Oryzias latipes: one gene and its partners. The protein of the gene in region 1 interacts with the protein of each later gene in a pairwise test. Links are inferred from orthologs where the notes say so. Each region holds a gene or a part of one and is shown on either strand. Other genes may lie near its edges.

Evidence for each region. The genes of interacting proteins can lie anywhere in the genome.
Region 2: the proteins of DNA-binding protein inhibitor ID-1 (region 1) and myf5 interact in binary tests that used the Homo sapiens proteins (3 or more experiments, as listed by UniProt). The link is inferred for Oryzias latipes from reciprocal best matches to the Homo sapiens genes ID1 and MYF5.
Region 3: the proteins of DNA-binding protein inhibitor ID-1 (region 1) and myod1 interact in a two-hybrid assay, tested with the Homo sapiens proteins (5 studies listed by BioGRID). The link is inferred for Oryzias latipes from reciprocal best matches to the Homo sapiens genes ID1 and MYOD1.

Annotation. Positions count from the first base shown.
Region 1 is NC_019863.2:26,015,378-26,019,527, reverse strand, and holds DNA-binding protein inhibitor ID-1, read left to right. Parts: upstream 1-1,927; 5' UTR 1,928-1,932; coding exon 1,933-2,376; intron 2,377-2,577; coding exon 2,578-2,613; 3' UTR 2,614-3,095; downstream 3,096-4,150. UniProt on the Homo sapiens protein: Transcriptional regulator (lacking a basic DNA binding domain) which negatively regulates the basic helix-loop-helix (bHLH) transcription factors by forming heterodimers and inhibiting their DNA binding and transcriptional activity.
Region 2 is NC_019881.2:19,172,477-19,177,516, reverse strand, and holds myf5 (myogenic factor 5), read left to right. Parts: upstream 1-1,830; 5' UTR 1,831-2,105; coding exon 2,106-2,558; intron 2,559-3,213; coding exon 3,214-3,286; intron 3,287-3,394; coding exon 3,395-3,591; 3' UTR 3,592-3,852; downstream 3,853-5,040.
Region 3 is NC_019864.2:6,432,062-6,437,623, forward strand, and holds the start of myod1 (myoblast determination protein 1), read right to left. Parts: upstream 3,489-5,562; 5' UTR 3,286-3,488; coding exon 2,698-3,285; intron 2,014-2,697; coding exon 1,932-2,013; intron 730-1,931; coding exon 506-729; 3' UTR 1-505. UniProt on the Homo sapiens protein: Acts as a transcriptional activator that promotes transcription of muscle-specific target genes and plays a role in muscle differentiation. Together with MYF5 and MYOG, co-occupies muscle-specific gene promoter core region during myogenesis.

The sequences.
Region 1 (4,150 bases):
TGGAATTTTGTCTGTATGTTGGTATGGAGTAAGCCTGACCTAGTTTACCATCATTCTTTTTTTTAAACTTCTCTCGCTAGCTTACAGTCCCTCACAACCTCAAAACAACACTAGCAGTGCAACAACAATGGTGAGACATATAGGAGCTAGCAAGCTGTACAGTTTTGATCCAGATTCCAGCAAAGACAAGGAAAACAAAAACGTAACTGGATCAATTTGCCTGCAAGTGGACGCATCGGAATGAAACGGAGCAGGGAGCTTTTGGCTGTTGCACCTACTCTCGATTCACAAGTAAATTCAATAAGGAAATACTCTGAAACACAGCTTTAAGCTTAATTTTCTTTTTATATGTCCTCCATGGTGAGAAAATGCTACAAGAACATGGTATAAACACCAAAAACACGAGTTTAATCTAAATGAATCTTGAATTCCAATTCACCAAAACAACAAAAAAGACTTGAGAAAACACTTTAAGTGGAACCAAAATTATAGTTTTGGCATTGTTATATTCAAAAACAGTGATAAGTTATAGGTGTACTGAGCAAGAGGAAATATATATAAGAGATTGCTGTTATGCAAAAATATATCTTATTGAAGCTCTGCTATATATATACATTTTCTTTCTGTTAGGTTCTGTTAGAATATATACATATATGTAGTAAAATGTATGTTCAGATAAAGGGAAAAAAGTCCATACGATCTAATAGACTGCTTCAACAAAAAAAACAAAAAAAAGAGGGGCAGTAAGAAGTAAGGAGGAAATCCAGCTCTTTAGGGAATTAAAATGCTAAAAAGGAAACTGCATTCCTTGAGCCGAAAACGTATTTTTGGATATGAATGAGGCAATCTAAGTGAATATAAAAGCAAAGAAAATGCGTGTTTATGGAAACCACAGGGACTTCGAGAAGTGAAAGTATGGAGAGAAATTAGACTTTCTCTCCATATGAAAGTGGGCTGTTGGGAGGAATGTGATGGTTATTGGTTTTTAAACGTGGAAAGGACACGATGACCGGTCTTCATTTGTCGTAGCTGACCGGCTTTGGTTTCGCAGGTGCGCTGGCCGGTCATCTCACCCCGCTGCTGCTTTTAGGTGATAAATGGAGGAGGGGGAAAAACTCTGGAGACGGTTTGTTCTCAGGGCTCCGCGCGCCATGCAGGTGAATGGAGAAGTGCGCAGCGCTAGCTCCCTTGTTTGACATCTCCATGGAGACCGCCCTAGCGGCGCCAGGCTGACAGGCGTCAAGGCGCGGATGAATGGGTGACGTCAGCGCGCCGGCGCCTGCCAGTCTGCTCGGGCTTGTTTGGACAATCTGAAGGGGGAGCGACTCTGCGCGGGCGTGCGCACGAAGCCCAGCGCGCGCAGCAGACACATGTGGAGGAATCTGCTGCTGCAGCTGCGTCCCTGAAACATGCTTACGCACAAAGAGGCTCAATCTGAGCATTTGGGATCATTCTAAACTAAATAACGTGACAAATATTTTTTTGCCTGCTCTGTGTGACGCCACAGTGCTATTATCCCACGATCACGAGTGAAAGACACATCTAGGGCACCATAGTAGCCAAATTGTCATTAAGCATTCATCCTTTTCAGCCCAGCTTCATCCCACACACATTCTCACAGTGCATCCCCATGCATTCACCACCCATTGACTGTCCCCGGGCAATCTACACCTGCAGAGTCCCCAAGCCATGGACAGCTGGATTCCCACATATTACTCATAAAAGACACACATTTGTTTCCATTTGTAACGCCATCCCTCAAACAGATTGTAAATTCCGATAACCAGCCGAGCGCCGTGGTTGGCTGAGAGTTTAGTTTTTTGCCGCCCCATCAATGCATATGCAGCCATGGGATTGGTCAGCTCCCTTCAAACAGGACGATCTGGACACACCCCCAGACGCTGCTGAGCTTTATAAAGAGACGGCTTCTCCATGTGGATGTTGAAAACTGTCAACATTGACCTGTGCAGTCGCTTTTCAAGACCAATATCTTCAGCGTCTGTGGAAGCTACGCTATTAAAGATGAAGGTTGTCGGATCTACCTGTGCCCTGAAGACCAAGGTCAGCGGAGAGATGGGCCTGTCCGACCAGAGCCTGGCCATCTCCAAGTGCAAGCTCCCGCTGCTGGACGAACAGATGAGCGTCTTTCTCCAGGACATGAACAGCTGCTACAGCAAGCTGAAGGAGCTCGTCCCGACGCTGCCCACAAACAAGAAAGCCAGCAAGGTGGAAATCTTGCAGCACGTCATCGACTACATCTGGGACCTGCAGATCGAGTTGGACGAGCCGGAGAAGAGTCGCCAGCTCTCGGCGGCCAGCGGCCAGCGCACGCCGCTGACCACACTGAACGCAGAGCTCGCGAGCATCGCAGTGGAGGTAAATAGCCCACTTTAAGTGTCTTTTGGGGTCTCACACAGAGACACGCGCCATTTGTGACTCATTCATGCATTTAAAACGTGTGCGTAAAAGTGACCAGTCAGTCTAGTGCGTAAAAAGTGCCGATTTACGCATGACAGTAATCGTTGCTCATCTGTGACCAGCTCTTTCTGACCCACTTTTTTTTTTCTCCTCCCGCAGAACGGCTGCTCAGACGAGAGAATCATGTGCCGTTAAGGGTCCGCGGAGCACCCCCCAACCCCCATCATTCCAGAGAGGACAAGACAACCTGATGCAGCGGCCAGAGCACATCGGCCTCTAGAGTCTTGAACTGTGAGGGAGAGTTTGAAACTCCTACAGCTAGAGAAATAAAATCATCGAGAGGACATGCTTCAAGAGTGACGGGGTCTCGATTCATCCGAGAGCTCCGATGTGAGGACCGGCGTGTGTCCAGATATAGACTGGGTTAGTCGTGGGACCAAGACAAGCTCAGAGAGCAACCAGCTTGTTGCTCGTAGTTTCATAATGACTTTGTTAAGCCCTTTGTATTTGTGTAAATCAAATAGAGAATTCAACATTCTGTAAAAAAAAAGTAATTTCTCAGATTCCTGAGCGACAAAACTGTATTGTATATTACAATGCCACAATATGTGAAGATATTGTTTTCTTACAATGTACTTTGTGTTTTTATTAAAACAAGACTTATTTTTGAACAAGAATCCTCCTGAGTGTGTGTTTTAACGAGAACGAAAGTGAAAAGTCCTCACAAAGTTTGAAGGGCGGATTTATCTTCACACATACCTTTGCGGTGGAAAAACTCTACTTCAGTGCCTGTTTTACAGCCTCATTACTAAGTTTAAACGCAGGTCTGCTAATGTTCCTCCGAGGAAATAAGGCTTATCTGATCCTGGTCAGGGTAAACAGATTGTCACTAAAAGGTTTGGCAGCCCCAGAAACTAAAGTCATTCAGGTGACGTCAAACCGCAACTGCTGGGAAACACAATTGGCAAAAAGTCTGTTTAATTAGACGATAAACCATTTGTTATCCACAATACAACAGGAAGTTTTTCAGTTGGTAGCTTGATGAAAAGCATAAAACTTGATCATCTGAGTGATTCCACGTGCGCTCTGCGCATGAATCAGTAAAATCCATGCGTAAACATCATAGATAAAGGTTTGTATTGTGTGTAGAAGGTGGGTTACACGTTTCACAAAGTTTTCTGGTATTTCAGAGTGTCGTCGTGTGCATAGGCACCTCTCGTCTCTCTCGGCACCTCGGGGGTTAAAAAGGCTTTGGCAAAGCGATGCGTTTTAAGATTTATCCCTTCTCCCTGGTGCAATGTTTTTCCCATTTCCCTGCGGTGCGATGCGCACAGCTGCAGCCCCGGCGTGGCCAGTGTGTGATTGTGTTTGTGTGATAGCTTTGTGCCAAGGGCAGGGGAGGGCGGCGGGGCCCAGACTGAGCGGCGCCTCGGCACACCTGGGGAAGTTCAGGTTAAATAGCTCCACATTCCTCAACACACAGCTGATTGAAACATTAACAAACAGTAATCCACGGGCCAGGCCGCAGATGGGCCGGGAAACGCTCCAACGGAGAGACAGGGAGGGAGGGAGACAGAGGCAGACAGAACTGCTTTCTGGTAGATTCCCACAGTGGACTGCCGTGCCAAAAGTTTGCTGCAAATGTATATGATATATATATATATATATATATATATATATATATATATATATATATATATATATATATATATATATATATATATATATATAT
Region 2 (5,040 bases), on another chromosome or scaffold:
ACCATTGCAAAAAGTGGTCTATTTAAGTGTACTACAAGTATACCTATGTACTAAAAGTGAGGCAGTATACTTAAAGTTTAGTTTTTCATACAATCTAAAGAAGAATTCAATTGTATACTTTCTACACTACGAGTATGGGGTCTGTAGTAGACCTTCACTGATACTGAAGTATCCTTAAAAAAATGAACTTCAGGTGTAAAACTTTTAGCTAATCGATCGATTGATATGGAGATCTATCTATCTATCTATCTATCTATCTATCTATCTATCTATCTATCTATCTATCTATCTATCTATCTATCTATCTATCTATCTATCTATCTATCTATCTATCTATCTATCTATCTATCTATCTATCTATCTATCTATCTATCTATCTATCTATCTATCTATCTATCTATCTATCTATCTATCTATCTATCTATCTATCTATCTATCTATCTATCTATCTATCTATCTATCTATCTATCTATCTATCTATCTATCTATCTATCTATCTGTCTATCTGTCTGTCTGTCTGTCTGTCTGTCTGTCTGTCTGTCTGTCTGTCTGTCTGTCTGTCTGTCTGTCTGTCTGTCTGTCTGTCTGTCTGTCTGTCTGTCTGTCTGTCTGTCTGTCTGTCTGTCTGTCCGTCCGTAAGTCTGTCCGTCCGTCCGTCCGTCCGTCCGTCTATCTATCTAACTATCATGAATAATTATTTTGCCCTAAGCAGAAGGTAGTATACTAGAGGGTGGTTAAGCAAACCCGAGTACAGCATGTATACTATAGACCATGTATGTGTGTTTAGGACGTATTCTAACTGAATACTTCTTAAGACAAAATAAAAAATCTAAACTTTGTATGTCTGAGATTTATGTACTGCAGAGTAGAACCCTGCTGAAAAAACCTGTTTTACAGTAAGTAGAGTGTAATAAATTGTATTTTAATATTTTCTTGCTTATCAAATCAAATCATTTTGAAAACCAAATCAATATTTATTTAATTGGCATATTACATTTCTAATATAGTACAAAGTGATGTACACCAAAAATAGATAACATAACTCAAGCTTGTAGTTCTTTCACAGTAAAATGACTACTTTTGGGTAACACCAACGGAAAAAAGGAACAACATCTATATTGCTGTTTCAAACAAACATGGTGGTTTGTTAACATGATTTATATTTTAAAAGCTAAAATTTGAAAAATCGTGTGAGTGTTTAGTACAAGAAGTATGTAAATAAATCCAGATGGTGCTTAATATTCCTCTAAATGTAGCCGATCAGATGCATTTCACCTCATTTTAAAGGTTAGAAATACATCCAACTAAAGTTTGGAAGACTTCCATTAATATCAATTTATTTTTATGTGAACAGTTATTTGTGAATATAAGTCAGGAGTTCTGCCTGAAGGAGGAACCCTCCTTAAACTTGCTCTTTTTTTCAGCTGCTGCAGCATCCTGACCATCTGTGTCCCAAACTGACCGGCAGCAATAACCTTTAATGGTTCAAATTTGGTCCTTGGAGGTTGGTGTCGTTTGTGTTTGGGGCCCAGCGATGGCTTCACCCCGAATGATGGGGTTTGGGTGTTTAGAGGGGCTTTGCCGCCATTCTAAGTTCACGGGGCTTGAAATGTTACACCTTTCTTTGCAGCTGGGGTGCATCTGCAACGCTGTCGTCGGTGCCGTAAAAAGCGGCCCGCGCGCTCCAGAGAGTGGTCCGGACATTTTTCCCAGGCAATTTGCCTTCGCCGTCTTCATTCGGGGTGTCACAGCGAAAGGTGGTGCAGAGGCGTCTTCAATACACCATCTTCGCTGAAGAAGAGCAAGCAGGAGAATACAGGGATGAGTAGGAAAACACCAGTGATTGCAGATGTGGGAAACTCGGCAGGGTACTGGGGGGTGAGAAGTAGGGACGGGGCAGGGAGGGAGCTGAACTAACTTCAGGCTGGGCCAATGGGCCATGGTAATTAGATCTGGCCAATGTGGGCCCTGGGCTTCAGCCAGGGGACATATAAGGGGGGCCTGGGGCAACAGACCCCTCATATCACTCAGAAGTCTCCTCTCTTTCATCCAGCACCTCCTTCCTTCCCTTTTGGCCATCTTGCCATCCACTTCTTCTCCCAGCCATGGATGTTTTTTCTCCATCCCAGGCCTTCTACGACAGAGCTTGTGCTTTGTCCCCAGACGACCTGGAGTTCGGCTCCAGCCTAGAGCTCACCGGCTCTGAGGAGGACGAGCACGTCAGGGTTCCCGGAGCCCCCCACCAGCCGGGACACTGCCTCCAGTGGGCCTGCAAGGCCTGCAAGCGCAAATCCAGCTTTGTGGACCGCAGACGGGCGGCCACCATGCGGGAGCGCCGGCGGCTCAAAAAGGTCAACCACGCCTTTGAAGCACTGAGGCGCTGCACCTCGGCCAACCCAAGCCAGCGCCTTCCCAAGGTGGAGATCCTGCGCAACGCCATCCAGTACATCGAAAGCCTGCAGGAGCTGCTGCGGGAGCAGGTGGAGAACTTTTACGGCCTGCCTGGAGAGAGCAGCTCTGAGCCTGGAAGTCCTCTGTCGAGCTGCTCCGATGGCATGGTAAGGCATGTTCAAACATCTACAGAAGCTCTGACTTAGCCTGCATGGATGCCGACCACTTAAGACTCAAACACCTAAAATCGATTTGGGATCTTTTTCATGCAGCGTTTCTTCTTTTCATTCATTTTGCAGCCTCAGCTTGGTCATTTTCTTGTGTTTGTTTCCGTTCATTAGCACCCATCAGTGTGATCAGACAATAACGCGACCCATTCTGATGCTCTCTGGGCGCTTTATAGCCTCAATAAACCAAAGAAAATCCAGCTTATGAAGTCTGGCAGGGAAAAGCGGGCGCACTCCTGCATTCCATCCTGACTGCATGTTCGGCGCCGCTGCCAGGATTTTCTGCAGATTTACTCGCAGAAAGTGTCATCTTGCACAAACTGGTGTTGCTTCCACTGACAGAATCAATTCGCCACAGTCGGAACTGGGCATGGAAAAGCGAGGGGGTGAGGGGGGGGCTTTGACTTTAAGGTGAAATAAAGAAGCCAATAACTTTGGAATTCAGGATTTATAAGCCTGTCCAGAATATTAAAGGAGGTTGGAAGCTTTTGTGTTTCCACTGCATCTTCATTTTTGTGTGTCAGCAACCGTTGTGTGTGTGTTTCTGTGTTTTCAAAAGTTCAAGGACAGTTCTTCATTTCTTGTGCCCTTCCAGGCAGGAGGCAGCAGTCCGGTGTGGCAACAGCTGAATGCAAACTACAGCAGCAGCTATTCTTATACAAAGAATGGTAAGACTTTCTGACAGCAGCTGCAGTCTGACATGTGCTGCTTTAAGGGGAATTCATGGAGATCCGTGTATGCAGAGAGAACCTGACTGAGCATCTTTTTTATTCCAGAGAGTTTGGACAACAAGACAGCCGGCGCCTCCAGCCTGGAGTGCCTGTCGAGCATTGTTGACCGCCTGTCCTCCGTGGAGTCCAGCGGTGGACCGGCTGCCCTGAGGGACGCCGCAACCTTCTCCCCCAGCAGCTCCGACTCTCAGCCCTGCACTCCTGAGAACTCTGGATCCAGACCCGTCTACCACGTCCTGTGAAAAACGGTTCTCTCTGAGGAGAAAATATGACCATGCCAGTCGGGAAGAACTTATTCTGCGTGAGAACGACTCGCCGGATGTGCGGCAACCTTCAATAAATGCACAAGAACTGTAAATATGTAAAATATGTTCCATTTATGCTGTTATACCCACTGACGCATATTTAATGTAACAGTACATTATTCAGAAATGTCATATTTAAGCCGTTTTGTTGCTCTTTACATGTCATGTCATCATTAAATTTCGTTTTTTTAATACAAATTTCAAAGTTTGTTCTTTCAGCCGAGCCTGGCAGCTAATCAGAGAAACAGGCTGATGCAAGGCGGCGGCGGTCTGGCTTTGAAAATACTAAATTACTGATTGAAGATAGCTGAGTCGTTGGAGCGCTAAGGCAGACTCACAGGTGGAGGCTGTTTATCCCGAGCTGCAGCTAACAGGGCGGAGGGGGCGCATTGGAGGTCACATGATGTCACCCATCAATCTAAAGAAATGGCTGGTGCTGAGGAGCTTGGCGTTATCTTTTTTTAAATATGTCCTTTCAATTGGAAAAATGCCATCAAAACAAGTAAAATATTTGGAAAAAAAAGACGTTTTTCTCTTGTGATAAGTTAAAAAAAAAGCCAATAGAACTGGTCGAATTTGTTTTGGTAAATTGTTTTTGAAACATTGTGCGTTGTCCTGCCCTTTTGAAATGAAATTCTAAACGTTTAAATTACGGTATTTTGCTCTGACAAGTAGAAATGTGTCTTATGATAAGTGTCTATTGATCAAAAAAGAGTTTTATATCTTTAATCCTCAGTGGTTCAGGGCCTTTTTGAGTATTTTTTTACTCTACAATTTGCTCTTAGTATTGACTTTTAATCTATTGATGGAAATATACATCAAAGCCTTTCGATTCTAAAATTACCCTAATCTACTCGAAAGCAAAAACATGAGTAAACTTTTCGTTTTTCATAGTTGGAAATAAATTCAGGTGTGAAAGGGTCAAATCACATTATTGAGCCGATCTTTGTTTGCAAAACCTCAGCTTCTTTTGTAAAAAAAATAAATATATTTATTTCAAAATGTTACGCAATACACCTTAAATGGTACAAAAAACTAAATTCTAAGTAGAAAAAGACTGTCTTTTTTATGCAAAACTTGAGAATAAAATAAAATAACTGAAGATTTTCAAGATTTCTTGACTTCAAACAAGTCGTTCCATTTTACTGAAAAGGCACTTATCAAGTAGAAAAGGACTTTGTAGAAGTAGAAACCGGACAAAATGGTGATATTTTGTGTCTTTGTCTTGTTCCTGAGTGGGGGTCGGGGTCGGGGAACACTCTGTGTACCTGCTTGTTCTTTCCCACCAAATGTGAGTCATCATTAACACCCTCAATTTTACCATCAACACCGCTGTCGAGAACAGATGGCCCCTTATAGAGCTCGTTTCATGACTGGGGGGGTGGA
Region 3 (5,562 bases), on another chromosome or scaffold:
GAATTCTTTCACATGTTTTTAAGCAGGAAAACAGAAGCTCATTTCTGCTGGAAAATATGCCTGTCTGGGAATGGTAAAATCCACCTGCAATAAACTTATTTCATATTTTATCTCCAGATATTCTGGTTTAGATGATCTGTTTTCAATTATTTCATTTAAAAAAACTGAGACTTTTGTTCCCCTTTTAACTCCCTTTTTAAAATAAAGACTTCATTAAGACATTTTTCATTTTTTACAAATCCACATTTCATGTTTTTCATCAGTGCGTGTTGTTTGAAACTGATAAGATATCAATTCAGGAAAAAAGAAGACTGAACAAAAAAACGAACAAAAAACAAATACTATTTTCCTGGCAGGAATGAGCCTCTAAAGGTTAAGAAGACCACAGAAGTTTTGAAAATGTTAAAAAGAATCTGCAGAGCCAAACTAATTAAACAGTTTCCATGTCTGTGAGCTCATTTCCACACGGTGCCACAGCATTGCTGTTCATCAAGGGTGTCAGGGTCTATAGATCCTGATAGATCAGGTTCGGGTCTTGGCTGGAGGCCGGAGAAGAGGTCGGAGCGGCCCGAGGGCCGCGCTCTGTCTCACTGAGCGCAGCGGCGGCCGGGGAGGCAGGAGCATCGGCCGTGGCTGGGAGGCAGCTGCTGTCGGTGGAGATCCGCTCCACAATGCTGGACAGGCAGTCCAGACTGGAGACGACGGAGCTGCGGTCATTCCTGTGGCCTCCTACGGCAGAAAACACCGTCAGTCAAACATGATTCAAACTAGACTGTGAGGTCACTCCTCTATGTGTGAATAAAACCTGTAAACAGCTGTGTGCAGACTATTTATTGGTGTGTGTGTGTGTGGGTGTGTGTGTGTGTGTGTGAGAACCAAGTCATGCAGTTTACTTATGACACTCTTGACTCTGTATTATCCACTGCTCCCCCACCCCCCATCTCTAACATCCACTCTCTCTCTTCTTGTTTTCCGTCCGGTCCAACAAAGAATGCATATAAACATAATTATTATGAATAAAGCCTAACCTCAAATACATAAGGGGTTTACACCAATTGATACCATTGTCCAGGGAAATACTCGATTCTGATTGGCTGCTGGGTGTGGATAAAAATGTGTTAATGTACATCTAAAAAGCAGTTCCGGTCACATATCTTAAATGTTCTGTATCAGAATCTTTAGCTTCATCATCTGGACAAAAATGATCAGTGACAGGAGAACTTTCTCTCTGAACTGATGCTTTATTCAACCCATCGTGATCATCAGCATAGATATCACTTTCCTTTGCCGCACCACTCGAGGTTGGCTAAGTGGCATGTTACTGTGACAACAGGCTGCACCGCATGACAAATAGTTCGCTTTTGTGAAAAAGCAATCTAAACCGTAAAAATGACCAGAATAAAGTACTGGTTGACTATTTATTTATTTTGAAAGTCACCATGGTATAAGTGAGTAGATTTACTTCAAAGTGTTCATATTTTTAATGCACTTTGCAGTTCAACGCAGGCTTACACGGCAAGCGTTAATAATGCACCCTTTGAAGGATATTAACCCCTAAATAAATTGTGTTTGTCTAAAGATCCATAAAGTCCTGTTGTAAAAGTAAAATTTGTCCAACACAAGAGGCCTTCAGCTCTGACATACTTGCTCAGCTGTAAATATAGATATAGATATATATCTATATATATATCCTTTTTCTCATTTATAGAATTTATAGAGAATGTCATTGTTTTCTTTAACCTCATGAAAACTAAATTTATTTAGCAAAAATAAAAGCACATCTTTGGCTTCATGAACAGATTTAGTTAGATTGCAAACGCTTTATCATTTCAGATGAGCAATGCTGTCGGCTGGTTAAAGCGCAAATCGGATCTTTCCTGTGTAAAATGTTGGCGCGTGACGCGGCCCCCTCTGGCCCGCGCGCAGCTCACCGTTCAGAGCCTCGGAGAAGTAGGAGCCGCCGTCATAACTCCCCTTTTGCGTCGTCTGACACCTCGGTCCATTAAAGTCAGTCTGGAATAAAACACAATGCTTTTTTTAGAGCACGCCAAAAGAGTAAATAAAACACAATTTACACAATGTCACATTTTTGAAATATCAACACAAGGGATATTTTCCGATAGTAAACACTCGTGTATTTTTAAACTGGAATATATATATATATATATATGGGCTTTCTTTGAACAAACAAGCACAAAACAGCAGCAACAATATTATTATTTCATCTTCCTGAGTGTTTCGCACGCGTTATAAAAGGAAATTTGTCAAATAATAGAAATCCTAATGACGGGACTCGTATGTTTTATGAAGGAAATTCGTTTGAATAAATCCGGATGTTTGGTGCAAATTATAACCGATTTTTATTCAAGCAGCGAACTGCTCCAAACGACGCTGTCAGTCTATTCAAGAAATACGTAAAAAAGATTTTCACGATTAAAAAAAAAAAAGAAAAGGTTTTACGTTTAAAAATCTTATTTTCGGGAGAGGTAGTAACTGGTAATCCTCTGAATTAACTGAGTAACGCGCCTGTATAATCGAATCTAAAACGGTGAAAGTTGCCTTTCCTTTTTCTTTTCTTTTTTACTGAAGTTTTGTAAAAACTTGTGCCGTCATGAAACGACTAACTAAGTCAAGACTCCATGCGTAAAGACGCGCTGTAGCTCCAGCCTTCGCAGCTTGTCCGAACAGCGGACTCACCATTCCGTCAGAGCAGTTGGAGCGGGGGCTGGACGCGTCCGAGTCCCCGCTGTAGTGCTCCAACACCGGGTAGAAGCCATCCTCCTGGCCGGCGCGCAGCAGCGCCTGCAGGGACTCGATGTAGCTGATGGCGTTGCGCAGGATCTCCACCTTGGGCAGCCTCTGGTTGGGGTTGGCTGACGTGCAGCGCTTCAGCGTTTCGAAGGCGTCATTGACCTTGCTGAGGCGCCGGCGCTCGCGCAGCGTCGCTGCCTTGCGTCTGTCTGCGTTGGTGGTTTTCCGCTTGCAGGCTTTGCAGGCCCACAGCAGGCAGCGGCCCGCCTGGTGGTGGCCACTGGGCGCACGGACGTGCTCATCGTCCTCCACCTCCGCGCGCTGGTGCACATGGAGGACGGAGGACGGGGAGGAGGAGGACGAGCAAGGAGAGGATGAGGGGGAAGAAGAGGAGTCATCCGGCTTCAGCAGACCGCCATGGACTAGCCGTGGGTCTAGGTCCTCGAAGAAGTGCATGTCACTTGTGTTAAAACAGGGGTCATCATAGAAATCATCAGCAGCCGGGATGGGGAAAGGAATATCCGACAGCTCCATGACCCGGTCCAAAACAGGCCCGCAGAAAAGAAATACTGAGATCAACGGGCCGAGCCGAGCTATCCAGCAAACCGAAGAGAGACTCGCGATCCGCGGGTCCGGTAATGTGGGTCCTGTCAGGAGTTTTGAACTGGACTACTGCTGACCTGAAGCCTCTTATACCTGGCACATCAGCAGCAGGCAGGGGGGCCAAGGGGTCAGAGGAGTGTGACCAATCGGTGGGCAGCTGCAGGGGTGTGCGTGTGTGTAAGTGGAGGGGTTACAACTGCACGGTAATTAGAGGCCTGCAGTTAACGGAACAGCTAAAGGAAGGCCGCACACGCATTTCCGCCTTACACACCCGTGTTCAAGCGCCTCTTTGAATGCGCACACACCAGAATTTGGGGCTGTGGCGTCTGGAAGGCTAGCGGTCGCACATCACCAGCAGGTTTTTAAGTTGGGTGCGGAGCCTACAAACAAATCAAGCGTTCGTTGGTCGCGCGCTGAAAGTTCAACCGGTTGAACTTTTTCACGCTGAATCTCAGCAACGCAGCGCTGTGACCAATCAGAAATTAGGATTTGATAGTGTTTGTAGCGTCTTTTCAAGAAACAGTTATCAACCGTTGTAAACATGATCACTAAGGAGAAATGAATAATTGCGGTTTGTTTTTGGCCGGAATAAAATGACACCAAGATGGACATTTATAGGAACAGATCTGTGAAAACAAAAAGGCTGGAGCAAGATTTGAGGGAATTGAACCGCTTTGATTTTGCAGATCGAACCTCTTCCAATAAGTTGATTTAATTACAATAAATATATTGTAGGTGGCGGAGGAGCGCTGATGAAAAGAAGAACCGCCCCTGCAGGTACCTGCGTGTCTGGCGCTGGTCCGTCCGGTCTGTACACCGAATGAGTGTTCATGAAACTGCGTGGAGCGCGCTCTGGAACGCACCTTCACATGCGCACACACCACTCTTTTTTTTGTTTTCATTGTAAGTAGGAAAAATGAGGCAATTCAGAATGTCAGAGACAAATGAAATGTTTGCACTGAAAGAAAAGACTGTCAGCAGAACATTTAATGAGCAGCAAGAAATGTGTGAAAAGCTGGCAATGCAAGACGAGCTTTGGTTGTTTTTAGAGCTATTTTGAAAAACAAATGAAGTCTCTTTTTTTTTTAAAAAACACCACAAAGTTGTTGTTTTAATGGAGAAAAATGGCATGAAAAAAAGGTTTTGCTTTCCCATATTCAAAAAGTCGGTATTTATTCTAAACTACAACAATAGTTGTGAAAATAATGCTAACTGAGTGTCTCTGTGCTTTGGTTTTCATGTATTCACATCAATTCTACTCAGAAATGATCTTAATAATTTTCAAAATCTACTTTTCTTTTTGTTATTTGCACATATTTACGTAGGACCAGACAGAAAAACACTTAATATGTGCGGCCAAGAGACACATTGTGGTGTTGATCCCCCCCACACATTCGCATTGCGTCTCAGGGTAAATGTTGTCGTCAGTGGCGGACTTTAGAGTTCGGAGGCCCCTGGCGAATAACAACGGTTGTATTTTATTTTTTAAATCCTTACATTTAGGGTAAAACATAAGAGAACTTTCTAGCTCTGTTATGGAGTTCAACAACCCAGATTACAGATATCCAGCTTGACTCCTCCTCTTGACATCAATTTTTTTACCCAGAAGCGTCGCTCAGCAGGGACTCTAGTAGGCGTGGTTACGTCATCACATGTCGAGCACATTGACTGTCAGCAGTCGAGCTGTTTGTTAAGACCAGACATTGTTGCCAGTGTGGGCTCATTGTTGTGATGGGAATCCTGGATCGGCTCACTAAAAAGAGCCTCTCAGCTCCCAAAAGACTTTTTTGGTTTTTGTTGCTTTATTTCAGTCAGAATGAAGCATATAAGATGAATAAGTGTAAAAAAAAAGTTGTTATTCATACATGTGTATGATATGTATGTTATTTATTCCTTCCAGATAAAACGTGCAAAAAAACAAAAAAACAAAACCAGCTGTTTACAATTCAACTTTTAATTATTTATATTTTTATCTTGCTCTTATTAAACAAGTTTGAAGCGAATCAACACAATCCGGAATAAAAGTAAAGATGTGCAAGCCGAAGAAAAGACTAAATATTTGGCATTTAGAAATTCCAAATGTCTATCAAGTTATATTTACGCCACCACATAGCAAACAAAACTTTCTAAGCTGCAAATGAAAATATTAAATATTTGCTTTCACATACTTTTTCTTTGCTTTCAAAAAATTTTTTTGCGTGTCATAGG